Linked DNA regions of Mus musculus. The protein of the gene in region 5 interacts with the protein of the main gene of each other region in a pairwise test. Links are inferred from orthologs where the notes say so. Each region holds a gene or a part of one and is shown on either strand. Other genes may lie near its edges.

Region 1 (4,170 bases), on a different chromosome or scaffold from region 5:
GGGGTGTGGGGAACCAAAAGAAACAATACAAAACAAAACAAGAGTTGGAAGCCAGCCTGGGTTGCAGTCAGACAGAGGGAGCTCAAAAGTGAAACCTCTGGCTGTAAAAATCTGGGAACTTCAATTTGACCCCTGGAACTCACCTAAGGGAAATGAAAATACTTGTGAAAAGTTGCTCTCTGGCTTCTTCAAGGTTAGAAGTCACTTGCACCTTTCTCTGGCAATAGTAAGGAACTTTAAAAATAAATAAAACCACCCAAGGAGCAGGGTGAGAGGTCTCAGCAGAACTTGCTGCACAGGCCTTTCAACCTTGAGTTTGATCAGGACCCCACATGGTGGAAGGAGAGAACACTCAGGATTGTCCTCTGACTTCAGTTGAAAGTGTGGTGATAACTCGCACGAACTTAACAATTTTAATGCCCCACTCCCTGGGCAAACAAACAAACAAACATCAGAGGTGGGGGATGTAATTTGCCAACTACAAGGCTCTGGGTTTAGTGCTCACGAATACTTATCTAACTTTTGTAGCATCTGTTTTCTATCATTTGACTTCTATTTTTCTTCTTGGACAGGTTTTCCTCTCAAAGTTTTCTTTCCTTTTTCTGGAGTTAGTCTGGTGTGTTGTTTTATAAACGTTTCCTTCATCACTGTAGTTCACTTATAACCAGAGATTATTCTGAACGGCCTTGTAATTTCTCCAGTGTTTATATAGACAGCAGCTCGCGACCATGCATTGTAGCCTCGGCCGCCTCCATGCAGAAATGGAGTTCGTAGGAACCAGCTCGTGTTCCTACGCCCGCCTAGGCGGCTCTGGAAGCTTCAAAAATAATCTTCACTTTAGCTTGTATCTCGACATCTCGCAGAGAATCCTCCCAAATTATTACACATCAAGAAAATCTGTCCCAGCGTTCACATAGTGCTGAGAGTTAGAAACTTCAGACAAATCCCTCCGGACTGCCTGAGATGCCCTTAGGCGGTCTTTCTTTTACATAAGACACCATTCTAGTTTTCCGCACGCATGCGGTCATTGATTCCTTTGGGATCACTTTTCGGGATGCGGAGACACGCGTGCAGAATTCAGCGTCCACCGACTCACCAGCCCACAGGTCTCTTTATGGACAACCCCCTCCACCTTGCTGTCTCCCCCCCCCCCCTCGTTTGCCCGCCCCCTCCCCCTGCTACCCCCCCCCCGCAATGTTTGCGCCTGCGCCGTCACTGTCCTCTCCGGGACTCAGAGGCGGGTCCACAGCTCTCTAGTCCCGCCCCTCTCCCTCCCCCGGCCAATCCTAGGCTCCGTTCTGGGCTCGTCAGAATGGCGCCGCGGCTGCCCTGTGCCCGGATGTCCGCTGCCTGAGGCTCCGCCCCATCACCGTCTTGCATCCTTCCGGCTCCGTCGTGGAAGGAGGACTGCGCCTCGTCTTCCTGAAGGTGGGGTTCGGGGAAGGCCAGCCCGCGGTCACGCCGGCTGTGGGAAGGGAAAGTGGGCTCCCCGGGCTACTGTTTCCGGGTGCTCGGGGCGTGGGCCGAGCGGGGAGCGGACCGGGGATCAGGAGGGCTTCCGGAGGCGCCGCTGGCGCTCGGCAGGCGGGAGTTGAGGAGCAGGCCGGCCGCGCGGTTGACTCGCCCCGCTGAGGCCGTCCCGCGAGCGCGCCTGTGGGGGTTTCCATGGTGACAGTAAACAAGCCTCAACTGCCTCAGCTACAACTGCCAAGTCCCCGGGGTTCCACCCTCCTCTAGGTGCTCTGAGGGCCGGCGAGGTCCGGATGTGAGTGGGAGCGTGGAGCCGAGAAGCCGGAGGTGAGGGCCGCCGGCGGGGTGTGCTGGCGCCTGGGCCCGGCGGGCGTTGGATGGCGGGCGTGGGATCCGGACTCGGAAGGAACGGGGCCGAGGTGGCCGCCGCACAGCCATAGCCGTGCGGAGGCTGCCCACGGAGCTGGGGACCGCGTGGCCGGGGTTTGGGGTCGGGAGCCGAAGTTCAGCGCATTTTCGACGGGGATTGGGCCGCGTGGCCGAGGTGTGCGGTCGGGGGAGCGGGGACTGAGGGCTGGAGTCCGGTCGGTAGGGCCGGGCCTCTGGGCTGAGGTGTGCGGAGGGCCTGGGAGACCGCAGCCGCGGCCCACGCCCGCCCGGAGAAAGCGCGGCTTTCCTCAGAGCCGCCCCCCCACCCCGCCCGCAGGCGCGGCTTCCTCGGCGGGATATTGGGGGGGGGGGTGAGGGTGGAGCGCTTCTCACCCACCGCGGCTTACGCTCTGTCAGCGGCCCCCCGGCAGGCCCGGGCGGTGGTTGTAGTTTGGAGAAAGACGAGCGGGCGCTCACGTGGCCCGAGGCGCCCGGAGTTTCACAAGACTGGGCGGGACGGCTCCGCCCACCGCCCACGCCCGGCCCGAGCGAAGCCGAGCGCCTCGCTTCCTCCTCGTGGCGGCCCGGGAGCTAGGAGCACCGGTCTGCGCCGGTCCCGTCCCCCAGAGGTATCGTGTTAGCGTGTGGGGTGCGGAGTCTTTGCCTAGGTGGGTTAGTCGGCCTTAGCCGCAGTTACGAGCACTTTTGTGCTGTGTTTGTGGAGCCTCACGTGTCTGGGAAAAGTTGAGGTGGGCCCGCTCGGCCTTCCCTCGGCGCGTGCTCTCCGGAGCCTTCCCGACCCGGCGGGATCGGAGAGGCAGCCCCATGTGCCCTAAGACTCCCACCCAGCGACCTTTTCTGCCCCTGCCAGTCCGGGAACAAACAAATGGGCCTCTTTCCTACCTGCAAGTCGGGCTGCGGAGTAAGCGGGCGAGCGAGCGCGGGTGGCCGCCATGTGGCTGTGCGGGATCGGTCTCCTGAACCTGGGCAGTTTTGTTTACGGAACTTTTGGGCTTATTTTAGTCGGTTTCCTTTAATGTTTATTTGTGCGTGGAGGTGAGGGGATAAGGTGAAGAAATGGATTTTTCCAGCACTGGGTCCTTGGGATTGAATTGAGGGTCCCTGTCACAATGATCTATCGCTCTGTCCAGGGGGTGGTTTAAATATTTAATTCTTCTAGTTGAACAAGACAGACGATATCTGGAAATAGTTAATACTTAAGTCTTTCTTCCCTTCGTGCTGCGGAGTGGAGGTCAAAACGTGGTTCAGTTCTTCCATCTGTGTATTCAGACTGAGCGCAGGTAGCTAAGGTCTGGCAAAAAGTGCGTTAGCCCATTGAACAATGTCGAAGTACTTTTGAGTACGCCGGGTGGCTATGCATGCTTTTGCGCTCAGCGCTCGGAGGTAGATCTCAGTTGAGAACAGTCTTACAGACCAAATCCTGACTTAAATTTTGAACTTTCTGCTTTTCTTATCTCCCTCGTGTTGCCATTAGTCTTACCAGCCTTTTTTTTTTTTTTTAAGTTACAAATCATTATGTAGCCACAGAGGATGACCTTGAATTCCAGATCACTCAGCTCCACCTCTAGATTGGAGTACTAACTCGACCACACCCCATTAGTAGTTACTGGGCATGGCAGGCTTTAGGCACGCTTTGTCAGCCCCATTCTGTCTGTATTATGCCCGTTTTTGTAGTAATTTTTAAAAAAGATTCATGGTTTGATTTGAAGGAAGGCCTGGGCACACTGGATCTAAAAGTAAATGCAAAAGTGATTACTTGTTTCTTGAGGTAGGGTCTAACTATTATATTACGCCTTGGCGCAAAATTACTGTATATTTAGATAAGGCTGGCTTCAAACTCAAGCAACACACCTACTTTTGCTTCCATAGTGCTGTGAATTGCTGGCATTAAAGGCATGTATCACGAAGCACAGCTAATACAAGGGGGTGTGTGTGTGTGTAACAGCTTTCTTTTGTTTTTCGAGACACGGTTTCTCTGTATAGCCCTGGCTGTGGCTGTCCTGGAACTCACTTTCTAGATCAGGCTGGCCTGGAAGTCAGAAATCCGCCCACCTCTGCCTCCCAATTGCTGGGATTAAAGGTGTACACTACCACGCCTGGCTGTATTTTGTACTTTTGAGATGTTTGGTTTTGTTTGGGGGGGGGGTTATTTTGTTCTTTTTGGATTTTCAAGACAGGGTTCTCTTTGTAGCCCTGGCTGTCCTGGAACTCTGAAATGTTTGTTTTATATGTGATTATATTTAAGACTTTAGTAAATGCCGAAATAAAACTACTGACCATTTGCTTACCAAAAAAATTTCAGTTCTCTGT
Region 2 (4,258 bases), on a different chromosome or scaffold from region 5:
AATGAGATGGCTCACCAGTTAAGAGCACTGGCTTCTTGCTCCTCCAAAGGACCTGGGTTTAATTCCCAGCACCCACATGGCAGCTCAGTTCTAGATTCGGCACCCTCACACAGACATGCATGCAGGCAAAACAGCAATGCACATAAAAAATAAAAAGGAGTCAGGCAGTAGTGGGGCACGCCTTTAATACTATGCACTTGGGAGGCAAAGGCAGGCAGGTGAAGAACAGTCTGGCCTACATAGGGAGTTCTAGGACAGCCAGAATTACATACTAAGACCCTATCTTGAAAAACGTAGAAAAATCTAAAAGAGAATTATTACAATATGTGGCTATTTGATTGTCTATATGTGCACCATGTTGGTATAGGTCAGAAGAGGGTGTTGGATCTCTGAAGCTGGAGTTACTGATGGCTAAACTGTCACATGGTTGCTGATATTGAATCCTAAATCTTCTACAAAAGCATTGATCCATCTTTCAGGTTCTATAAATAAATAAATAAATAAATAAATAAATAAATAAATAAGTAAATAAATTAAAGGAGACCATCTTGGTAGCCCATTCCTTTAATCCCAGCACGAATGGCAGAGGAGGCAGGTGGATTTTGAGTTCAAACAGATCAAATAAGTTTCAGGCCAGCCAAGGCTACACAGAGAGACCCTGCCGCAGAAACATAAAAACAAACAAAAGTCGGGCGGTGGTGGCCTTTAATCCCAGCATTTGGGAGGCAGAGGCAGGCGGATTTTTGAGTTCGAGGCCAGCCTGGTCTACAGAGTGAGTTCCAGGACAGCCGGGGATACACAGAGAAACCCTGTCTCGAAAAAACCAAAACCAGCCAACCAAACAAAAATGTTAGAAGGCACCGCGCTTTACCACTCAGAAGCCGTTCCTTTAACCCAGCAGTCGAATGAATGAACTAAGCTCCGAGTTTCACAGTAAGAGCTTGCTTATTAGCATTTCCGCGGTCCGTGAATGACTAAAATGTTCCAGTTATAGGAGTTTCCAGTCCTGCCTCCCTTCCTCCCGGAGGCGCTAAAGATCCAAGATGGGCCCGCGCCAGCCTGTCTCCAGCCTCTCCGCTGGGGTCAGTTAAACCTCCTCCTCTTTCCCGCCCGCCCGCCGGTTTTGAAAAACCAAAATTCCTGCTGTGGCGGGCAGCTCCACTGGTCGCTGCACGCTGACCAATCAGGAGCCACGCCACTGCTACGGGAGAGACAAACCTCCCCAGCAACGCGTGCTGATTGGCTGTTATTCCCAGCAGGCGGGACTAATGGAGGTCGGGCTCTGGGCAAAGTGGCTCTCGCTACTCTGTTGCGAGTTTGTAAGAAAACAAGGGCGCTCTGGGCGGGGCCTGGGGCGGGCTTGCCTCGCCCACTAGCGGCTGACTCTGGCGGCCAGTACAGTGCCGGCTCAGAGCAGACCCCGCCCGCGCAAGGAAAGGAGGGAGGGTGAGTCTGGGGAGACCCGGCCCAAGGGGCGGGCGCCGAAGGGCTGGGCGGGGTTCCCCGCTGCCTCTCTCGGTGACAGGGGGAGGAGCTAGCTGCGAGCGCTGGGGTCGTACGGGCGGAGGGCGCAGGCTCTGAGGCCGGCAAATGATCATAGAGTTGGCCCTGGTGGCACCGCAGTCCCTAGAGTTCTGATCCAGCTCTTGCTGGTTCCCCAGCCCTGACCTTAACTGGGCTTGGGGCTGGGTGGGTTTCACAGTCCACCGGTATCCACTATGCTTCTGGAAGAAGTCTGCGTCGGCGACCGGTTGAGTGGCGCAGCGGCCCGTGGCGACGTGCAAGAGGTCCGCCGCCTTCTTCACCGGGAGCTGGTGCATCCTGACGCCCTGAACCGCTTTGGCAAGACGGCCTTGCAGGTGAGGCCTGGCTGGCACCCGGCCCCCACACCCCATCCCTACAAGTCTCCTGACCCGGGTTGGTGATCCCTTAAGGTTTAGTCCTTGCTTGCTCTGATGTTGGGTGGGTGGTGAGGATGCGATGGGGGAGGGGATGGCTTTTCAGCTCTTGTCTAATAGCCTGACAGATTCAGTTTCCCTGCAGACCTTTATTCTGTGGGTTCATCTTCTTTTCGTGCCAGTCCTTGAGGACAGCTCATATTTCTTGAGGCTCCTTAAAGATATTCGATCTCTGGAAGATGGCATGCATGTCTTCTCCAAGGGAGATAGCCTTTTTTTTTTTTTTTTTTGAGGTGCCCTCTTGAAGGATCTCTGGTTATTTCAGGGACATCTTCATTTCGGCAGGTGATGTAGATTTTTTCCCCTTTTGTATCTTCTGCGTGCCTAGTAACAAAAACGATTCCTTATTGCTTGAAGGTCCCGTAATTTGGGTGGCATTTATAGGAGAGTCCCACCTTTTCATGGGTACTCATACATTCTGAAGATCATGCCTATGTCTAAGGAAGTTATTTCTCGACAAAGGGGATCCAAATTGTCTAGAGCATCTCTTTCTCAAAAATTCTATGTAGTTCCCAGATTGTAGTGTTGAAGGGGCTTTACAGCCCTAATGATATGGGACTGCTCTGGCCTCAAAGAGGCTTTAGACGCCTTCCTGGTTCTCTCTCTCTCTCTCTCTCTTCAAGACAGGGTTTTTCAGTGTAGCCCTGGCTGTCCTGAAACTCACTCTGTAGACCAGGCTGGCCTTGAACACAGAAATCTGCCTGCCTCTGCCTCCCGAGTGCTGGGATTAAAGGCGTGCGCCACCACTGCCTGGCCCGGTTCCCTTTCTCATCCATTCTCTTTACTTCTCTTGCTTCTTCATTTTCTTTTTTTATTTCTGAGACAAAGTCTCACTTTGCATCTCAGACTGGCCTTGAACTTGAGACTGTCCTCCTGCCTGAGCCTCTGAGGTCCTGGGATTATGAAAGCGTCACTATGCCTGGCTTTTTAATGTTTTCATGAGAGTCACTTTTATAGTTAGGGCTTTTTGTTGTTGTGTTGTTGTTCTTAAGAGAACTTTGGGCTACACAGTAGTGACACAAATTAATCCAGCACTTAATCTTTAATCCCAGCACTTGGGAGGCAGATGCAGGTGGATCTCTGAGAATTTGAGACCAACCTGGTCTACAGAGAGAATTCCAGGACATCCAGAAAGACATCCTGTCTCCGACAAGGATGGGGGTGGGGCTTAGAAGGTGTGTGTGTGGGGGTGTCCTTATTTTCAAAGAACCTGTTCTCTGGGGTCCCAGTCTGATCCCTTGGGTCCTGACTTTCCTGGGGGCGTCCCCATTCCCTAAGGATCCCTTCTCTGTGCTCTGGATTTGTGGTAGACCTCTTTATTCTACCTGACCCTTCTCCAATGGGAACCTCCTGACTTTCTCCTCCCCACCCCCATAGGTCATGATGTTTGGAAGTCCAGCAGTTGCTTTGGAGCTCCTGAAGCAAGGTGCCAGCCCCAATGTCCAAGATGCCTCCGGTACTAGTCCTGTGCATGATGCGGCTCGCACCGGGTTCCTGGACACCCTGAAGGTTCTGGTGGAGCATGGTGCTGATGTCAATGCCCTGGACAGCACTGGGTCGCTCCCCATCCATCTGGCGATAAGAGAGGGCCATAGCTCCGTGGTCAGCTTCCTAGCTCCTGAATCTGATCTCCACCACAGGGACGCTTCCGGTCTCACTCCCCTGGAGTTGGCTCGGCAGAGAGGGGCTCAGAACCTCATGGACATTCTGCAGGGGCACATGATGATCCCAATGTGACCCAAGGCCACTGTCTCCAGCCTTACTGGGTTACTTGTCAACAAAAGAGGAAAGAAACTTTCTCTTTTCACACCTGTCCATTGAAGAAGGGAGTGGGAGGAGCAGTTTGTGGTTTATTGGTGTTGATTTCTTGAGTGTGTGTGTTTGGGGGGTGTTTCTCATTTGTTTTTCTCACCCCTTTTGGTGTGTTGGACAAAGAAGGGGCTCCTACAGGCAACAGCCATCTAAACGGTTCAGTTTCCTCTGCACTGGGGCTGCACCAGGGCAGGGGTTTAAAGCCCTAGCCTCAGAGTGAGGTCATCACTTCCCGGGCCCCTTGGAAGCTGGTGACCTTGGCAGGCTGTGCTCAGAGAGCCCTGAAGTGTGAGCCATCTACTTTGGGCATGTGAGGGGGAAGGGAAAGCATTTCAAATCAATTAAAAGGATAACATGAGTTCATTTTTCTTTCTTGGAAGGTTTCCAGTCTGTTGTACAGAGTTTGAAATATAAATATTTATTGCTTTATGGAAAGAAATTGTTTTGTGTGATTATTTTATGTTTTGGCCCATTAAACTAAGACAGCG
Region 3 (4,146 bases), on a different chromosome or scaffold from region 5:
GTGTTGCTGCAAGCAACATTGTGGTGGTTTGAACAGGAATGGCGTTCATAGACTCTTGTGTTTGAATGCTTGGCCCACAGGGAACTATTAGGCCTTATTTGGTTAGGTGTGGCCTTGTTGGAGGTGGGCTTTGAGGTCTCATATGCTCAAGCTAGGCCTAGTGTGACAGTCTCTTTCTGAGGCCTGTGGATCAAAATGTAGAACTCTCAGCTCCTTCTCCAGCACCTTGTCTGGTATCTTGCTGCTGTTTCCTACCATAATGAAAATGGATTGAACCTCCAAAACTGTAAGCCAGCTTCAAGGAAATAGTTTCTTTTATAAGAGTTGTTGTAGTCATGATGTCTCTCCACAGTAATAGAAACCCTACCTAAGACACATGTTATAGAAATGATTGTGCAGTGTGTGTGTGTGTGTGTGTGTGTGCACGCACACACGTGTGTAAAATAGACCCCATAAAGAAATCCACAGAGGCAGAAGAACTCAGAACACCAACTTACAGGTACCTTTTCAGACTAAGCTTTTATTTTTTTGATATTACAAACCAGTTTTCTTTATTCACAAACCACTGTAAGTGATATAAACACTAATTTCTAAAGACAGATATACACATTTTCTGGGTTTGCAGATTGAGTGATGTGTGTTAAGAAGTCACTATATGCCACATTAATCTTTTTTTCCATAATTCATAATAGCAATAGTTATTTAGATAAATGAAAACATTCCAAATAAATACTGTTGTTTTAAAAAATCCAAAATGTTTGTTTACACCTCTGACATGACAGTTTAAAACGACTTATCGGCAGCTCAGTGGAGTGCCTAGACAAAAGGTTCTGCGACACCGATTGGCACCCACTTGCTCTAAATGATTTTTATTAAAACTACATACGATCGTAGGGGAAAGTACAGTTCATTGATGGAAATCAAAACCGCAAATGAGTTTTACTTTAGCCAGCACAGTAAGAATTCCATGTTTGTGATTTCATACACAATGCAGGTTCTGGGCTTGAAAATCTGGGGCGACTGGGAGGAGTCTGTTGATCTTTTTGCAGCCCCCTTTTCTATTACTATCTTGACCCCATCTGGGGTTGAATGCTACAGCATCATGATAAATTGTTGCCTTGGATAACATCAACCAGGTGCACGCTGTAGCAGGCCAGGGAAGTGGGAACGTGATGTTGTCAAATGGTTCCCTCTGGACCTGTCTCTCCCTACTCAAAGAAAGGGGTCTGGTGAAAGAAGAACAGTTTCTCTTCTCACCAGTTCAGCAGTTTCTCTCCCTTCCCCTCCTCGCCCTTTGCTTTTCTTTCTCTCCCAAACCATGATCACCTGTCTTAGATATCGAAGCTACAAAAACTTTGTTTTCAAATCTCATGAAACTTTATTGATGGTTTAATATCCAACCGATCTTACGGGCATGCACGTAGGATGACGAGGAAAAGCTGGATCACACACACTTTTTTTTTTCTTTTTAAAGTTTCGTTTGGTTTTGATTTTAAAGCAGAGTTGTTACAGCAGGTTGGCAGGTTCACAGCGTGAGTTGATAACTTACTAAAGTGCGTGCCGCGGGGCCGGCACCGCACACACAGGCAGCAACACTACTCAGGGAACAGCTTGCTGATATTTTAGAATTTAAATACAAAACAGGAAGACCCATGACAGATACCCCAACTTAGGTTAACTTGTAAACAGGACAACATGGGGGGGATTCAAACAGAAGAAAATCACAAGTTGCAATTTTTCGGCTGTGTTGCTCTGGCCCTGCTCCGAAAAAGGATGGGGCAGATCTTGTTCTTTGGGGGTGGAGGGGATAGTTCTAGTTCTTGTTTTTTGTCTTGTGTTTGCTTCCTTCTGACAATTGTTGGGCCTTGGTGATAGAAATAAAGATACCAGTTTATGATAACCCTGGGGCACTGGGGAGAGGGAAGGGCGGGCTCTCACAGACTGAAAAATTGCAAGTTGCTCACAGCGCAGTCATGTTTTCAAAAAGTATCAAGCTGATGAAAATACCATGATTATCTCTATTCAATGATTGCGATACTTGTAAAATGCGACTATAAATCCAGATATGATTATCATGTAATTCCATAAAAATTATACGTCTGTCTCTAACAGTTAATCTACTAAGCTAAACTAAAGCCTCAGAGACTGTTCTAGAACATAACTCCACTGCACAGATGTAAATTTTATACATATTTTTAACTGGTACAAAGAATTTAAGTTTTTATTACTTTCTTTTTTGGAAAAAAAGAAAAAAATAGAAACAGTGCTTTTTTTAATCACCTTTTTATTAATGTTAATTTTTCCCTCCCGTAATATAAAAGTCAGCAGTGATATCAATAATTTCTCATACTGGAAGAAATATAAAAAGAATGCTTACTGATGGCCTAACTAGTAGCCTTTGCTTAAATAACTAGTGGGTAGGTAAGAAGCTGAGTACTGCAGGTGGAATGATAAGAGGGTGGACTGGCCGACACAGCTTCCTTCCTTCAACTGCAATCTCCGTGCTATGAGAAGCGGATTCTTAACACAGCCTTTGGCTTGACTTTGCCAGGAGTAACTTAGAACCATAGATTTATGATAGTTGGTGCAGTGGGTCATTTAGATTCATCAGTTACTATATATATGTATATATATATATATATATATATTTTCTTTTTTTCCTTTCAGCCAAACCCCTAAGCCCGCCCCAGCCTCCCCTTTCACAGAATAAAATAATGTGGATGCAGAAAGAATGACTTGCCGTTTCCAGTCTTCCCAAACAGCTTAACCCCAGTAGCTTCATGTTCGGCATATAGAATTCATTTACATAATATAGCACTCTGGATATGGCCCTAAATCAGTTTTTATTCATATCTAGCCTCTCTCTAGATCAACCACAAAAACTCCTACAGCCAACTGAACTACAAAAACCTTCAGAAACCAAAGACCCACAATATTAAAATACACAGAACAAAATATCTGAGGTATAAGATAAAAAATGTAATTTTTCCTCTTTTTTTAATTTTTTTTTCTTTTTAGTTGTTTCTTTGAGTTGCTAACATGATGTCCTACTGCATGTGATGCAACACTCAGGCCTCGGAAAGCTTCCTCTCTCCCCACATTGGAAGGTTGGGTTTTTTTTGTTCGTTTGTTTGTTTATTTGTTTGTTTGTTTAATGGTTTTATCATTTAATATGGAGCAAAACGGTTGTATCCCCCTCGGTATATACTAGCCTGCAATGAAGAAAGAACGAGACCCACATCATCAGCATGGCTCCTAGTCTTGGCATCGGTCAAGGGCGCAAAAGCATTCTGAAACAAAGCAATTTGAGGGGTGTGGTTTTTTACATGTTGCCTTTTGTAACATGTGGATCATCAAAAAGACTAATGTAAAAAAAAATAGACACTCAAAACCAAGCAAATTAGAGGGCACCCCCTTCCCCATCCCAGACCTTGTCAGAAAGTTAATGGTGGTCACTCCTGACCTCCTCCTACAACTCCTTATGAAAAACAAAGACGAAAACCTAATAATCCCAGGAAACTGAATTGGATCAGCTGGTCTTACCTACCAGCTACGAGGCTTCCAGTTTTCAAATGGGAAAGTGGATGGATAGGAACCAGCTCATTTTACTGGTTTGTTTCTTTGATGAGTGGACTAATTGATATGATGTTGCACTGGGAGAAGCTCTGTGTATAGTCAAAGGTGGTTCTAGACAATGTATTGAATAAAGGGATCAGGATTCTTTTCCACCCCTTTCCTCAAGTGGCCTAGATCTTGGAGTAGTCTTGGTTGTTGGATGTCACGGTGAAATAAGAATAAAGGCCTGCTTCTAGCTTTGGCTAGGCAACTGACTGACTCTGATGCTGCAGTGGGGGTGGGGCAGGAGCTCTGCTGGGTGTGATTAAGCTTATGTAGAACAGCAGGCTCTTCTATGCCTGCTTGGGTTTCTATGACCCAGGGTGCAGGGAACTGCCTAGCAGTGGCTTCCTACCACACTTAAGCATTTCTCTTTGCTGCAATTATTGGCCATTCCAATGAATGCCCATGGGACTGAGTTTCAGGGAGAGGGCTAAGATTCTCAACTCAAGCAGAAGACTGCATGCCAAGGCGTTGTATTGATCGCATGTGCTCTCACACAATGGACATGTCTTACTGGACTCAAGAGTG
Region 4 (4,175 bases), on a different chromosome or scaffold from region 5:
ACAGACCAAACGCCTGGGTTAGGGGTGGGCTTGAGCCAAGAAAGAAACTTGATGGCCCCTTCCAGCACACATGACCCTCTCTAGGTCACGTTTGTGGTCACAACTACTCGGTCCTCTTCTGAGGACTTCAAAAGGCTTAATTGCCTGTGCCTCTTTAGAGCTGTCCAGGAAGGGGTAGCAGGCTAGTGGCACAGAGAACACCACTTGGCCTGAGCCAACCAGACTTTGAAGAGAAGGCCTTTGCCTACTGATACTTCTAAGGCTCTCTATCCTGGGATCTAAGCAGCAAATCCCACCATAGCCAGTAACGCAGGCACAGTGAAAGCTTACTGTGGGTTGTAGCTCACAGAGTAGCTGGTTTCAGGGCCAGGATTCCAAACACCTTGAAAGATTGAGAGACAATGGTGAACATGAGGAGATATTTCTAAAAATGAGCCCTGCAGCTGGATATGGACTGGAGATTCAGTTCTGTGCTTCCTATCTGTATAAATCAAAGAATAACAATCTTACTGAGCCCAAATTCCTTCAACTACAAAATACAGGCAGAAATAGAACCTCACTCGTGGGTTTTGTAAAACTGCTTTATTTCTTCCACTAGATGTGGTTAAAAAAATCAAAATAGTATTTTATATACTCAAGCATTTCCCTACTTCCATTAAAACCTCTGGAAAATGTTGGGCTAGACAAATGGCTAAGTGGTTAAGAGCACTGACTGCTCTCCCAGAAGACCAGTACCCACATGGTGGCTCTTAACCATCTGTAACTCCAGTCCAAGGGATCTGACCCTCTCTCTGGCTGCCTTGGGTACCAGGCATGCCAGGATTGCATAGACATCCATGCAGGCAAAACATCTATATACGTAAGATAGAACTTGATAAATTTGGAAAATATAGGGACACAGGTACTCTCTGTGAACTTCGCTGGATCTCAGCTTGATCATACAATCTGTAATGATCTGAATTGATCCACTTTCATTGTCTTCCTAACAAGAATGCTACTAGAAGTCAGGGATGCTTCACTCTGTAAATATTGAGTTAGGTAGAGTGAGTGTCCCCTAGCTTTGCAAATAGAGGCTGGTATACACAAGAGACTCGTTGGAAGACTCGCTGGACACACAAAATGTGTGTGTGTGTGTGTGTGTGTGTGTGTGTGTGTGTGTGTGTGTGTGTGTGTGTGTGTGTGTGTGTGTGTGTGTGTGTGTGTCGGTGTGTGTGCTTGTGTCTCTGTGCATGTATGTAAGCTCTAGGTGTGCTTGCAGGTGGCTGGCGCGAGTCGCAAAGCCTCTGTGTTTGCCCTCATGGTCAGCAGATGGCGCTGCAGGCCTGGCCTACAAAAGACGCTCCAGTCCCGGAACCCGGAAGCGTCGGCCGGAGGGGGCGGGCCTAGGGCGCCTAGAGTCTTGCGAGTTGGGAAGGGTTAGTGTCCCTCACCTCGACTTGCATCCTCTTCCCGCCCCTTCGTCCCGCGCTGGCACGCCAGGACCTTTTCCCTAAGTAGAACTGAGGAATGCCCAGAGTGGGGGACTCGGCGAGCGCCCAAGTGACAGAGAGCCCCCAGGGCATCCTGGGTTTGTAGGGACTATGGGCATGCTCAGGGCAGGGCTGTGCCCGGGCCTCACCGAGGAGACCGTCCAGCTTCTCAGAGGCCGAAAGATAAAAACAGGTGACCTCATGGGCACTACCCCGGGGGTCGGCACCGTGGTCGTGGTACACATACGGGGCCTTTTGCTCTAACAGGATGGCCGCACTCTTCCTCTGACTTTCTGAGGAAGCTGGGTTCGCAGGAGCCGAGGCAGAGGATTTTACTGAGTGCTGGGCCCTTTGCGGGGTCGGTCCTGCATCAGGGCCTGCGTGCTCGAGATAGGTAGTAGAATAAGACCTTAATCCCGTTTGACAACAGAGCAAAAGGCAAATGTGGCAAGGCTAAGCCATTCCTGCTGCCAATCACCTGCACCTGCTCTCTTTCCAGTGGCAGACCTGGCAGCTGCTGACTTGGAGGAAGTAGCCCAGAAGTGTGGCTTGTCCTACAAGGTGAGCTCGCGATCTGCAAGCTCCATTCCAACCCCTCTTCCAGCTGCGCCCCCACGCTGCAGGATCAGAGTTCCTTGGGATAGATGGGGGGGGGGGGGGGCGCTGCTCTGAGGGGGCAATCTGGCGGGCCTGGAGCCTGAGTGTCCGCCCTATTGGCAGGCCCTCGTTGCCCTGAGGAGGGTGTTGCTGGCGCAGTTCTCGGCTTTCCCCTTAAATGGCGCAGATCTCTATGAGGAACTGAAGACTTCCACGGCCATCCTGTCCACCGGCATCGGAAGGTTTGTATGCGAACCTGGACAAGGTGAAAGCAGAGACTGAGGCTTCAGAGGACGGGGCTGGTGAGGGCAGTCCAGAGCGGTAGAGGAACTGCAGGCGTGTGGACTCCTGAGTGTTTTTCCCTAGAGTAAAACTGTAGGGTTTCTTAGCCTCAACACAATTGATGGGGGGGGGGGGGGGGGAGGCAAGTCGTTATTTCCTGAGATAGAGATATCCTGTGCGTTGAGAGTCGTTTAACAGCATCCCTGGTCCTTCTCTACCCACCAGATGCCAAGATGCCCCCAGTTTTAATAATCAAAAAATGACTCAGTATCTCCAACAAGCTAACTTTTCCCAGTGAAGAGCCACTGTCCTATAACATAAGATGTCGTTAATACCCCCATTGTTTAGTAGAGTCCACCATACGTCAAAATAAAGCAAGTAGCAAGTGAGACCCGGGGAAGGATTGGGGTCCCGGGAGTCTGCACTTTTGCGCTGACATAGGCCAGTGGTTTTCAACCTTCCCAGTGCTGTGACCCTATAATACAATTCCTCCTGTTGTGATGACCCCCCCCAACCATAAAATTACTGCTTTGCTACTTCATAACTGTAATTTTGCTACTGTTGTAAATCATAGTGTAAATCTCTAAAAGCAATATAGTCGGATCTGCCACCCCTGTGAAAGGGTTGTGCAGTCGTCGGAGGGCTTGTGTTGTGACCCCTGGTTGAGAACTGCTGCCCGAGGTTATGGATGTTAGAAGTTATTGACCTCCCTTGTGGTTAGCCTAAGAAAGGGGCCAGCAGAGGTGAGCCCGGGGTTATCTGATCCAGAACCTGTTGTCTCTGCCATCTGAGGCAGCAGAGGGGAACGGGCATACTCCAAAAAGAGCAGTTACATTGTGCCCTGTTGTTCGGGTTGGGAAAGAATTGGAAGACAGCTAGCATTTTCTGGCCAAGCGAGTCTGACCTCTCTCCCGGCCTATTTGTGCGGAGCTTGATGAATAACACGGCCATCACAGAGGTCTTTGGATCGGTCTGGCCCTTGCTGTTTCCATAACACATTCTCTTGGCAAGGTCCGCACAGTCTGGTGCTTGCTCTCGCTGGTTGGGGGTCTGTGTTTGTAATCCATCAAACATTGGCTGAGTGCCTACTGGGTGCCAGACACATGCAGATGCTCTCTGGAGGAGTGGGGCTCAGGATTTTAACTTAATTCCAGCTGACTGTTCCGAGGTATACTTGGAGGTGAGAGGCCACTGTGAAAGCATTTGTAGGCTATGGGGCATAGCTGTGCAGGACAGACGGGCCAGCCAGCCAGGAGAGGCCAAACAGGGATCTTGTGTTGCTGGTTTGGGTTGTGTAAGTCTGAACCAGGGTTTGTGACCACGGAAGACATGTTGAAGGAGAGATGTGAGAAGAGAGACTTACTGTGAGATCAGGTGTAAATTTGAAGAGTCAAAGGTGGTGGTTTGCTGGGCTGAAGAGTTGGCCTAGTGGTTAAGAGCACTGACTGCCCTTCCAGAGGTCCTGAGTTCAATTCCCAGCAACCACATGGTGGCTCACAACCATCTGTAATGAGATCTGATGCCCTCTTCTGGTGTGTCTGAAGACAGCAACAGTGTACTCATATACCTACGTAAAAATCTTAAGGAAAAAAAGATGGTTTTAGATTTCCCTCCAGTGTGCTGTGCCTACCTAGTGGATGTAACTTTGAAACCGGGAAGGTAAGGCTATAGGCAAGGTTAGTGAAACTTGTGATTAGCATGCATTAAACCTGTTAAACAGGGTCCTTTGCTGTGGGCCTTCTTGGCGTGCTGAGGTGCAGCGTAAATCTTTGCAGGGCAGACACCGCTGTAGATGGAGGGATCAGTTATGCCTTGCAAGCCAGAGCT
Region 5 (3,500 bases):
TTATAAGACCATCCCTAGGGAGGTTGAGATGGGGGGTTCTGGAGGCTCACTGGTCAACCAATCTAAACTGATTTGGGGACTCCAGGCCAGTGAGAGACTCTGGGCAGTGTTCCTGAGAAAGATACCTGAAGTTGACCTCTGGCTTCAACATGTACATAAGCACACATAAATCCCCACCCCAGGCACCCGTGCACACATACACATGCACACATGCACAAACACACAAAGAGACACTGGGGGGGGTGTGTGGGAGAAGCTGCTTTCCTGCCACCTGGCACTTTTGAAGATTCTGTAGTGACTCGTGTGTGTGAATGTGTAACCCAGAAACCAAATATAGATGCCGGGAGACTGACTAACGTGATGGCCCCAGGTGTCTGCTTCCTGCTTTTCTCGTGATTGACAGCGTACGGAGGATCTTATCTGTTGTACCCTCTCCCTCCCTCAGCTGGATTAGTTTTAAAGGAAACCCCAGACATAATTGATCTATACATATTTAGCATGTATCTCGGAGAGATAAAGGCTGCTTTTGTTGTTTTAGTGTGACCACAATGCCTCACTCACAATGTTATAAGCAGCCTTGGGTAAGGCTAATTCAGAAAAGCTGTTGGCGTGCAGCTGACTTTGCAAGGCAGTGGAGTGGGGGGTGGGGGAGGGGACTGGAGGTAGGGAAAAACAAAAACTGGTTCTGCCAGTGACCTGTTCCTGGGACTTGGGACTCACCTGATCCCCTGAAGGGAGGAGAAGGATCTGAAACTTAGGGCATCCGTCCTCCTTACTCTGATTGTTCCTGGGGGCACAGTGGGGAGAGTAGGGCCTATTTATAGCCCTAAGTCTAGACATGGAAAGGAGGCAAAAGGAAGGGAATATTCAAGAGGGCCAGGGAGAGGGAAAGAGGAGTATGAGGGAAAGAGAAGTAGAGAGTGGGAAGCGGGCCTACCTCTGTGGACTGTTAAGTGCAGGCTCTTCCCCACTCTGAGTGAACTGTACACCTGCCTGTTTACGTGCAGACCTGTGTGCACCATGGAATGTGCGCGTATGTGTGCATTCGTGTACGTGTGCGCGCGCGCGCGTGTGTGTGTGTGTGTGTGTGTGTGTGTTCAGAAGCAAAGAGCACTATCAGGAAAGTAAGGGAACCCCACGCACACTGTTTTGGGTATTTCTTGTGCCTTCTTAGCGGTGGCCAGTAGACTGTCAAACAGACCATGTCTGAGTTTAGCCGCGATGAAGCTGCAGCCTCCAAGCCCCATGGCGTCCCTTTCATTTTTTTTTCCTGTCTGCCTCTTAACTATCTTTCCTCTTTGTGTGTCTTGAGTGTCAGCTAAGCAGGTTTCCAGAATGTTCCAGGCATAGGCAACTAGATCCTCCCCTCCCTGGAACCCTTGAGTATGCATAGCTGATGCTTCTAAGCTGGGGCATTGTGGTTCCCTTGGGAATGCAGTGGGGGGAGGGGGTCCCTCACCAGGGTTGCTGGGGGTAGTGGTGATGACAGGCTCACCACCTTCTCCCTCACTGGAGGAGAACCAATAACCAGGAGCTGGGAGTTCATTGGCCCATCAAGGGCCATCAGATTGTTAGTCTTGACCCATGATGGAGATGAGGGACAGGGACACAGGGAGAGAGCCTTGTGAACTGGTTCAGGGTCTGGGCAAGTGGTACTGTCACCCACAACTAAAACAAAAACAAGAGGCCATGCCGGCAAGGGTCTATGCAGATATCCAGATGGTCGCCCTGTGGAATCTAGGATTCGGGGTCTGGTCAGACTGTGAGCCTGAGCCACACAGACACACTAGTGGACAGGTGTCTGACCCTTGTGGTAGAGTGTCTGCACTGTTCAAACCCCCCTCGGTGGTATTCCCGGGCATCACACAAGGTTATCAGAGTAGAGGACCCAAGATGCTGAACAACTTGCTCAGGGTCGCAGAGATGAGAAGTGAGAGAGTCAGATGAGAGCCCCGCTGGACACTTGGCCGACCTGCAATAGGGAGGCTGTGCTGTGTTCCTGGGGACTCCTTCAGGCTCCACATCTCATTCTGTGAAATGATTACTCACAGCCCAGCCCTTTGCTGCTGGGCAAATTTCCCCAGTGAGCTCCCTCTCTGTTGTTTGTTCCTGAGAAAGGACAGATATTCTCATCACAATGGCCTAGTGGGTGATGCTGCTGGCAGAGTCGTCCAATGTTGACTACTGTGTCTCTGATCCTTTTGCAGAGCTTTGGAACTGAGCGGTGGCAAGGATGAGATCTCCCTGCTGGTGGAGCAAGAGTTCTTGAGCCTCACTAAAGAACATCTCATCTTGGTCCAAGAGGGCTCTGGGGAGCTGGCAACACCCATTGTTACTCCCCAGGGGACCAGGGAGCTGGCTCCCTGCTTTCTTGTGCCTCCTCTTGGGGCAGACAGCGCCGAGTATGCAGGATCCTCCGTAATGGCTGGTGACGAGATTCAGGAGCAGAAGCTGTCCATGCCCATCATTGGTAGCAGGCAGGACTCGGATTCTGCCATGTCTACAGTCACCGGCATCCTGCGCTCGGCCAAGGTCAAGAGTGTCAAGGGGACTAAGGACAAAGGCCATAGCCTGGGTGCCTCTAATTCAGAGATCAGCAAGCTCCTGGCCCAGTTCCCACTGAAGGCAACTGAAATGTCCAAGGCCCCAGACAACAAGATGGTGCTGGAAGAAACCAAGGTCATTAAGGACTTCCTGCAGAATAGCATGTTCAATGGCTCCGGACCCCGGGAGCCCATGGGGCTGGGTCCGTTCCTGCTGCTGCCACCCCCACCTCCTCCTGCACTCCCTGACAAGCTCCCTGAGTCCTCTCCTCCCAAGAGGCAGCTCCCGGTGTTTGCCAAGATCTGCTCCAAGACTGAGGCTGACGCTGCTCTTGAGGGCCACCACTGGATTGGTGAGTGGGGTTGAGAACAGGAAAGTGAGGGGGGTTTTCAAGGGAGAGAGTCTTGATCAGGAAGCTGAATCGAGGCCATGGTGTGTCTTTGTGCTAAGCAAAACAATGCAGGCTCTCTGGTTGTGTGTGTCTAAGTGGTGTATGAATGTGTACATGTTCATGTGTGGATAGATACACCCATGTATATGTCTGGAGGCCAGATGTAATGTCAGGTGACTTCCTCTGTGGCTCTCCATCTTCTTCATATGTGTGTATATGTGTGTGTGTGTGTGTATACACATACACACACACACATACACACACACACACATATACACATACATACATTACAGATGGTTGTGAGCTGCCATGTGTGTGGTTGACTCAGGATCTCTAAAAGAGCAGCCAAGAGCTCTTAACAGCTGAGCCATCTCTTTAGCCCCACCCCCATCCTATTTCTTGAGATAGGGTCTTCTACTCACTGAACATGCAGCCCACCAATTCAGCCAGTGTGACTGGATCGTGAACTCTGGCAGTGCTGACCCTGCCTCCCCAGCACCAGGATCACACACACGTGCTACCACAGCCAGCTTTGTATATACATGTGGGAAATTCAAACTCATGT
Region 6 (3,500 bases), on a different chromosome or scaffold from region 5:
GGCAGAATGGAGGAGTAATCTGTGGGTTGACTTTTTGTCTGTTTTGGTTTTGGTTTTTCCTCCTTATGCATTCTTAGACCTAACAACCCAGGAGTGAAGAGCAAGACTGTACATCACTGCACGGGAAACAGCCCGGGACCTAACTCCAGTGTGGGGAAGGGCGCAAGATCTATTTATCGTGATGTTCAGGATCTGAACGCCCAAGCCCCACTGTGGCTGCCCTGTCTGGACAGTGTCCAGTTGGACAGTGGGAGCAGACTCATTAAGGAAGGTGGGGTGGTGGTCCTGGGCACAGCTTACCCCGGCACTCATGCCCCGTGCGGATATTGATGCAGTCCACGGGCATGTGGACCTTATCCTCTATGCTCTGCCGAGTCTGATCATCGTAGTAGATCAGGTGACCGTCTGACCACAGGTCGAACCAATTCTTCTTCCAGCGTTTCAGAATGGTGCCTGGGGGACACACAGAGAGAGTTGGCTTTGGGTTACAATGACAAAGGCTGTTGCCCGTGCGCAGCAGGCACAGAAGAAACCATCTACCAGCCTAGAATCAATGGAAGCAATCCACCGAGCTGGCAGTATAAACAGTCAGGGCCTGTACCCCTCCAAGGGAGCACAGAGGAAGAGAGAGGGGAACACATGTGAAAGCCAAAGGGAGAAGAGCCCTGCCATCTGGATACAATCTTGCCACTGTACTCAGGAGCTCCCCAGCTGTGGACACCCGCACAAGGCCCACACAAGATCAGGCCTTGCAACACTCCATCACAGATAGGAAAACAATACTGACAAATAATAACTTCAAAAAAAAATCTCACCTTCCAAGACCATGACAGTGCTTGAGGAAAAACCAGAAGCCAGCCAAAGGACTGGCAAGGGACTTGTCCTTGGGTCTGAGCAAGATGCCTCATCAACCCTATCCACATAAAACTCAAGAGAAGGTGGCCCTGGCGTCTGGGGCTACCTTCCGAGACACCAGGTAAGGCCATTCTTATCACTCTAGGCTAAGACTACCCACAGACCTAGGGAGCGGAGCACAGCATAGCTCCCGGTGGGGAAGAAGTAGCCGGCTCTCCCTGCTCACCAGCTCATTATTCCAGTGGCAGCCTAGGAAACGAACAGCCAGTTCACGGTAGCCATGTCCGGGAGTCATGCTCAAGAACTGAGTTTTCTCTGGAGACAAAGATTTGCTAAACTCGTGCACCCACCAAGGCAGGTCTCCCCACTGACCCTTCTCGGGCTCCAGATAGGACATGCCATTTCCTACACACACAGGCCAAAGACCAGGAAGCCAAGCGTGCTCAGACCCAGCCACCTCAATAAATACCCCGTTAGTAATAAAGCACGGGGGCGGGGGGGGGGGGCAGAGCCCTCCCTGCTTCCTGGTTCCTATTAGCTCCATGGTTTCTATTAGCTCCATGGTTTCTTGAGGACCGTCACAGAGCCCTAAAGATTCCCAGAGGAGATGCACGGCAACAGTAGTAACCAGACGTGACCATTGGCAGACATGATCTGTTTTAGGGTTCTCAGATGTCTCTACTCACTCTGCCGAAGTAACCATCCACTCTTCACGAACGCCATCTCTCCAGCTGCAGGAGAGAGAGCAGACAGGGTCAGGATCAAGAGTCAGGAAAAGAACGGTTCATCTGGCTCTTTTCAACCCCTCCCCTCTCCCCTCTTCCCTCCCCACTCTTCCCTTCTCCCCTTCTCCCCTCTCCCCTCTCCTGAGGGAGCTGAGGAACAACCCAAAGCCGTGTGACCTCACACTACCTGATATTTATCAAAGCCTTCTCCACGGGTCTATACCACCCACCCTTCCTCCCACCTCCTGAGTCCCAACAGGCTCAGGGCAGCTCCAGAAATACTAAGGCTTGACTCCGCTACGGACTTGAGCCTTCTCACGACACATCCAAGTGTCCTAAAGACCTGGAGTCCAGCTGCCTCGGCCCAACGCTGATATGTTCCACAGACTCACAAGTCTAGTCATCCCTCACTGTTATCAGATGAGTAGCTAGTTCAAGGCAGAAAACCTTGGGCCTTCAAGAAAAACACTGAGAGATTTAATTCCATAAAATAGATGACCCAATCCTTCCTGCTTCTCAGAGGCCCCAGGTGTTGTTCTGGGTGGCAGTTTACGACCACCTGGAACTCCAGTTTCAGGGGATCTGACCCCCTCTTCTCTCCTCCACAGCCACTGCATGCACATGGTGCACTTAAAACACACACACACACACACACACACACACAACAAAACACTCATACAGCTAAAATGAAAACAAAAACTAAAAACCGCCCTGGGCCAGTGAGGTTTAGTAACAGGTAATGGCAATTCCTAGCACCCACACGCCAGAGGAAAACTGACTCCGAGGAGTTGTTCTCTAACCCCCAACATGTGCACCACAGCACAAGTGTGTCCCTCCACAGTAATAATAGGCATAACTTTAAAAACAAAGGATATCTGTATAGGTGAAGGAGTGTCAAAAGACTAATGACAAATGAGGAAGACCATTAACAGATGGCAGCAATGACGTCTCACACACACACACACACACTCTCTCTCTCTCTCTCTCTCTCTCACACACACACACACACACACACACACACACACACACACACACACAGAGCCATAAAACAAACAAGAACAAACTCTTAAAATACCCAGTTTGGGTCAGGAAGAGGGTTCAGTAGGCAACAGGGCCTGCGGCAAAGCCTGAAGTCAGTAGTATGATCTCTAAGACACAGAGGGAGGCAAGAGAAATCCAACTCCCTCAGGTTGTCCTCTGACCTTGGCATGCATGTCAGGGTGTGTGTGTGCACATACACGATCAATCATCAATCAATCTGTAAATTTAAATGTAAATTAGATATAAAAAATTAAAGAAGATAGTCAGTTCCTTCTCAACTCAGAAGACAAAACTCAGATGCAGAGTTCGCAGTTTTCCCCATCGGCCTGGCAAACTTCAATGCCTAGCCAGGAGGAAGTGTTGCAGTGTAGAAGGCCTGGCAGGATAAAGAGATTCCAAAATGACTTGGAGTCCCTCCCTTTGGCCATCAGACTGTGAAACAAGACACCATGCGGAATTGAGATTTTCCCAGGGATCTCATTCTGGAAAGGACAGGCCGATGCCTGGTAGAGCCAGAAGGGGAACTACTCTGGAAAGAGAATCTCCACGGTCTGACAGCGAATCAGACCACCCTGAGACTGGTCAGTGCCGGCTGAGACAACCCCTTGACCAGGAAAGCTATGCATATGTCTAGTCCTCTACTTAAACCTAAACTTCACGTTGGGACGGAGAAGACAGCCTGGTGGGAGTTGGAGGCTGTGATTGGATCTCTTCATCTCTCTTTTTCAAAGTAGCACACAATCACAAGCTGAATCCACAAAACCAGCCTCCATCTTTTTTTCCAAGAGATTGTGAACAGAGACATACCCACCCACCGCTACTGGCTGCCATCTTGTGACGGGATGGGGGAGGAGCTCAAAGGCAGCTGACCCTGAAGAC
Region 7 (4,102 bases), on a different chromosome or scaffold from region 5:
CTGCGATTCTCAGTACATGTGTGCACCTATCGACAAAGTCTTGATTCTGAATTCAGAACATGGTTAAACTGGCCTGGCTTGACTTTTGCTGCCTAAAAGATAAAAGATCGAAGATCAAAAGGATGGAGAACTTCAGAATTCCTGGCTGGCTTCAGGAATTACTTTTACTAATGGTGGTAAGATCTGACTTTTCGATTAGACTGGAAAGGTCGGCACTCGGGAAAGTTGGCCTGCTTACCTAACCTCTGTACGGACAGTGTCTTCACCTCCAGACCTGAGGCAGACCTGAGGATCAGATTAAGGAAATGGGTGAAAGGGTTCCTGAGTAAGAAAGACCTCAATATAAAGAGATTAGGATTTCTTCATTTATATGTCAAGTTAAAAGGAACATAAATACCCCCTCTACCCTCCACTATTACTATGGATGATATCTATGAGTTTTCAAAGCCTCCACCACACCCCACACGCCCCACATTCACAGATCTTCAAACTGCATGGTTCACTGTTATCTAGCACTGACTTTTTGTTTTTGTTTTGTTTTGTTTTGTTTTTGTTTTTGTTTTTTTTTTTTTTTTGAGACAGGGTTTCTCTGTGTAGCCCTGGCTGTCCCGGAACTCACTCTGTAGACCAGGCTGGCCTCGAAATCAGAAATCTGCCTGCCTCTGCCTCCCAAGTGCTGGGATTGGGATTAAAGGCGTGCTCACCACCGCCCCGCTAGCACTGACTTTTAACCTATGGAGTAACTTGCAGGGTGGCAGGTCAGGTCTAGTGCCTAAATCTGAGTCAGAATTACGCGCGTGACACAGACGTTGGATTTGCACTTCATGGAAGGCAGGGCCAACTTCTCTCCACTTCCCTTGAAACTTGTACACGAGTCGAAAATCAGTTGCACACCCCTTCACAAAGACTTCGTCTTTCCTTCTCCTTGAAACTGTCCACAGTGAAAGCAAAACTCCCATCCTTAGAATCTTCCAGAAACTCAGAGCTGGAGGGTAATTAACTTGCTCACAGATAGTGAGGGCAGAGTTGGGTCTGGAGCCTCCTTCTAACATCCATTGCACGTTTTTCTACGGGGGGGGGGCGGATTATACATAATAATAGTATCACTAACAACAGTGGCTAACGCTATATGCCGATATTCTATCAGCTTCCATTTAACTAGATGGGGGGGGTAGTTTTGGGTCCTTCTTTTAATTAAAGTAGCCTACTGTGAAACAGTATTTTTTTTTTCAGTTGCATGACATTGCAACCCGAAATCACAACTTTAGGTTCCTTGTGGTGCCCGCTTCCTCTTCTAGTTTGTTTAGTCACAGAATTCGATTCCTGTTGGCTGTTTCCGCGCTGCAAACAGGCTTAGCGCTCCATTGAAATGCGGGAGGCTCCTTAATTCTTGTATAAACAGGTAACCCGAGGGGTGGGGCGGGGGCCGCGGCCCTAGGGTGGGTTTCCTGGGAGTGGGGATGGGGGTCAGACTTAGTTCCCCTGTGATCAGAGGCAAGGTTAAAGGAGGGCTTGGCTGAGGTTTCTCCTTGCACTGTTTTTGTTCCCTTTCTAGAAACCAGCTGTAACACTAGGTCAGAGCGCATTCAGAATGAGCCACTTTGAACGAGCAGCGGCGCCCAGGCCCCAGGCCCTGCTGTGAAGGCTCCGGCAAAGGTCAGAGCTCCGGCCCCCCGTGACGTGCCTGCCTGTGCTCTCCGAGCTATGCTCAGCCTCAGGTAAGAACAGCCCAGGAGGTCCTGGCTTCCTGCAGGCCCGCGGCGGGGCTCGTCTGCCGCCCTACCTGCTCCAGCGCCTTCCTGCCCCGCAAGGCCGGGGGCGGTGGCACTGCTCACCCCGGGAGTCAGGCGCAGGGTCCTTAGTCCTTGGTGCAGGCTCAGGGTGGCTTACTCTAAACAGCCATAGGCGGCCGGAAGCCACTCTTCTAGATGTCCCCAGGTGGGGCAGGTGCCACTTCTGGGGTCCCTTCTGAATGTCTGAAATGGATGTGACTTTTTGAGCGGCCAAAGTTCGTAAATCCTCCGCATCGGGGCCAGTCCGATATGATTTTTTTTTTTTTTTAAACCTTCAGCTAAGGTATCCGCGCTTCTAAAACAACAGGAATGTTGCACTGGCCTTCGGCCAGCGGAGGCTCAGCGAGCAGGATAAAATTTCAGTGCAGATTTACGGGAAGTTGCCGGTGTTGGGAGTAAAAATCTGGTTTGGTGAGTTTAAGGGAAGGGAGTATACGAGACAACCTTGCTACTGTGAGGCGAATGGCCTCGTCTGGGGGAGGGCAGGAGGCGGAGGGAGGGAACCGGGAAGAGCAGGGATTGCAGAGGCACCGATTGCAGCCGGACTCCGCCGCGCTCCGCGGGATCCGACCCTGTGCCGCTCCGCCCGGGCCACAGCCGCACCGCAGCCGGCTCGTACGACCCAGCCCAGCCGGCCGCCGAGCGCCCGGACCCGGAGAAGCCAGGCTCTGGGCCGGGAAGACGTTTCTTACCGCAGGTCACTCAGGCTAAGAAATTGTGACAAACTGGAATTCCCAGAACCCGGGAAGAGTTAAAGCCTAGAGCGATCTGATCTGTTGCTTTAAGCCGCACGGTGGGAAGTAGTTTGGAGACTCTTTAATTTAGTTTTCTATTTAAAAGTGTGCGGCCAGCGAAGATGTTGTAGGTGACTTCCTAGCCTTGTAGATTGCTACCGGGCTGTGAATGGTATTAATTTCTGAAGTGAGCGACGCCAAGTACTTACGGAAGGTAAGGTGGACTTTTGGCAGTTCTGACTACTGTCCCCATAGAGTCCTGACTTTTGGGAAAAAACAAACAAACAACATCTTTCTCTCTCTATTTCTTTCCCCCTTAGTATTAATCTCTCATTTGATCGTCTTCCTTCTTTAGTGGGAAGTTAAAGGGTTTATAAAAAGATTTTTTTTTTTAAAGCTTCAGCTTTTGGAGAGCAGATAATCCTATGGTCAGCCGCATCTTGTTTCCTGCAGACTTGAGTCTTTTTCCGTGTGTGTGTGTGTGTGTGTGTGTGTGTGTGTGTGTATAGTTGAAAAAAACGTAATTGGTCTTTTTTGAGGCACAGGTGACTAGATGCGGATTATTAGCTTGAGATTTCGGAGTTTTTGGTGACGGGCGTCTCGCTTGAGTGTTAACTGGAGCAGAGCGGGGGGGGGGGGGGGGGGGGGGGCTTCCTGCAGACATTTATCTCTGAAGGCCACCCTCGGGGAAGCTTAGTTGTTGTTTCCAGCGGAGAATTCAATCTGGAGACAAGAGTAGAGTCTACCAAATATAACATCTGATATGCCTGCAGTCACTGGGTGGCTAAGAAATCAGTCAAAATGAATGGAAATGGAAAATTTCAGATAAAGGACTCTCTGTTTTAATTAGGTAAAAGTTGACAACACTCTAAGACTGTCCTAAGGCACTTAGGGATGTGGCTTCCTTATTAAGTCTTATCAAACTGATGAAAAGATATTCTCTAGGTACTTACAAGCTATTTTTGACTTGCTTTTATTTTCTCCATTACTTATGGGAGCTAAAAGTCGAACTTTTCTCCCCTCCGGTTTGTGTGATAGTGACTCACTTAGGAGTTTCCTTAGGAGGACTGCAAATCAAAACTGTTCTTCAAGCTGCTGAGGTGGCTGGCCACCAAACTTGAGGACCTGAGTTCTAGCCTTCCCTCACCGTGGTGGAAGGAGAAAACAATCCTCTAAGTCGTCCATGGACTTAATTAATTAATTAATCAATCAGTTAATTAAAAACTCAGGCTTAGGTCAGGCAAGGTGGAACGTGCCTTTTAATCTACAAGTAAAAGGCCAAAGCAGGGGATTGGAGGGTCCAGGGCAACTGGAAAGCTGGGTTTGGTGGCTCATACCTTTAACTCCAGTCCTTGAAAGGTAGGATAGGAGGAACCAAAGGGAGGGGAGGAGGAGTTCAAGGCCAGCCTGGTCCACAAGGCAAGTTCCAGGCCAGCAAAGGGCTGCACACTGAGACTTTGCCAAAACAAAAAACAAACAAACACACAAGATAGATAGATAGTAACTGAATGGTAAGTGAGAGTCTTACTGTGGAGTCAGACTAAGGAACACAAAGGGTGGAACAACCTGCAGGGG

The links.
Region 1: the proteins of CK137956 (region 5) and Hnrnpf interact in binary tests that used the Homo sapiens proteins (3 or more experiments, as listed by UniProt). The two-hybrid records come from large-scale screens. The link is inferred for Mus musculus from reciprocal best matches to the Homo sapiens genes C1orf94 and HNRNPF.
Region 2: the proteins of CK137956 (region 5) and Cdkn2d interact in binary tests that used the Homo sapiens proteins (3 or more experiments, as listed by UniProt). The two-hybrid records come from large-scale screens. The link is inferred for Mus musculus from reciprocal best matches to the Homo sapiens genes C1orf94 and CDKN2D.
Region 3: the proteins of CK137956 (region 5) and Rbfox1 interact in binary tests that used the Homo sapiens proteins (3 or more experiments, as listed by UniProt). The link is inferred for Mus musculus from reciprocal best matches to the Homo sapiens genes C1orf94 and RBFOX1.
Region 4: the proteins of CK137956 (region 5) and Rad51d interact in binary tests that used the Homo sapiens proteins (3 or more experiments, as listed by UniProt). The two-hybrid records come from large-scale screens. The link is inferred for Mus musculus from reciprocal best matches to the Homo sapiens genes C1orf94 and RAD51D.
Region 6: the proteins of CK137956 (region 5) and Plekhb2 interact in binary tests that used the Homo sapiens proteins (3 or more experiments, as listed by UniProt). The two-hybrid records come from large-scale screens. The link is inferred for Mus musculus from reciprocal best matches to the Homo sapiens genes C1orf94 and PLEKHB2.
Region 7: the proteins of CK137956 (region 5) and Rbm47 interact in binary tests that used the Homo sapiens proteins (3 or more experiments, as listed by UniProt). The two-hybrid records come from large-scale screens. The link is inferred for Mus musculus from reciprocal best matches to the Homo sapiens genes C1orf94 and RBM47.

What each region holds. Positions count from the first base shown.
Region 1 is NC_000072.6:117,905,412-117,909,581, forward strand, and holds the start of Hnrnpf (heterogeneous nuclear ribonucleoprotein F), read left to right. Parts: upstream 1-1,370; 5' UTR 1,371-1,428; exon of another isoform or gene 1,429-1,698; coding exon of another isoform or gene 1,699-2,430; exon of another isoform or gene 2,431-2,507; intron 2,508-2,692; coding exon of another isoform or gene 2,693-2,794; intron 2,795-4,170. Other genes in the region: uncharacterized protein 4933440N22Rik, read right to left, coding at 1,699-2,430, 2,693-2,794.
Region 2 is NC_000075.6:21,288,410-21,292,667, reverse strand, and holds Cdkn2d (cyclin-dependent kinase 4 inhibitor D), read left to right. Parts: upstream 1-1,458; 5' UTR 1,459-1,718; coding exon 1,719-1,859; intron 1,860-3,335; coding exon 3,336-3,695; 3' UTR 3,696-4,205; downstream 4,206-4,258. UniProt on the Homo sapiens protein: Interacts strongly with CDK4 and CDK6 and inhibits them.
Region 3 is NC_000082.6:7,408,835-7,412,980, reverse strand, and holds the end of Rbfox1 (RNA binding protein fox-1 homolog 1), read right to left. Parts: exon of another isoform or gene 3,291-4,146; coding exon 3,168-3,290; 3' UTR 501-3,167; downstream 1-500. UniProt on the Homo sapiens protein: RNA-binding protein that regulates alternative splicing events by binding to 5'-UGCAUGU-3' elements. Regulates alternative splicing of tissue-specific exons and of differentially spliced exons during erythropoiesis.
Region 4 is NC_000077.6:82,887,825-82,891,999, reverse strand, and holds the start of Rad51d (DNA repair protein RAD51 homolog 4), read left to right. Parts: upstream 1-1,375; 5' UTR 1,376-1,580; coding exon 1,581-1,662; intron 1,663-1,968; coding exon 1,969-2,030; intron 2,031-2,189; coding exon 2,190-2,308; exon of another isoform or gene 2,309-2,331; intron 2,332-4,175. UniProt on the Homo sapiens protein: Involved in the homologous recombination repair (HRR) pathway of double-stranded DNA breaks arising during DNA replication or induced by DNA-damaging agents. Bind to single-stranded DNA (ssDNA) and has DNA-dependent ATPase activity.
Region 5 is NC_000070.6:127,950,342-127,953,841, reverse strand, and holds part of CK137956 (uncharacterized protein C1orf94 homolog), read left to right. Parts: intron 1-2,207; coding exon 2,208-2,896; intron 2,897-3,500.
Region 6 is NC_000067.6:34,859,959-34,863,458, reverse strand, and holds part of Plekhb2 (pleckstrin homology domain-containing family B member 2), read right to left. Parts: intron 1,587-3,500; 5' UTR 1,579-1,586; coding exon 1,542-1,578; intron 454-1,541; coding exon 301-453; intron 1-300. UniProt on the Homo sapiens protein: Involved in retrograde transport of recycling endosomes.
Region 7 is NC_000071.6:66,149,155-66,153,256, reverse strand, and holds the start of Rbm47 (RNA-binding protein 47), read left to right. Parts: upstream 1-1,302; 5' UTR 1,303-1,402; exon of another isoform or gene 1,403-1,555; 5' UTR 1,556-1,718; intron 1,719-1,783; exon of another isoform or gene 1,784-2,253; intron 2,254-2,278; exon of another isoform or gene 2,279-2,741; intron 2,742-4,102. UniProt on the Homo sapiens protein: Single-stranded RNA-binding protein that functions in a variety of RNA processes, including alternative splicing, RNA stabilization, and RNA editing. Functions as an enzyme-substrate adapter for the cytidine deaminase APOBEC1.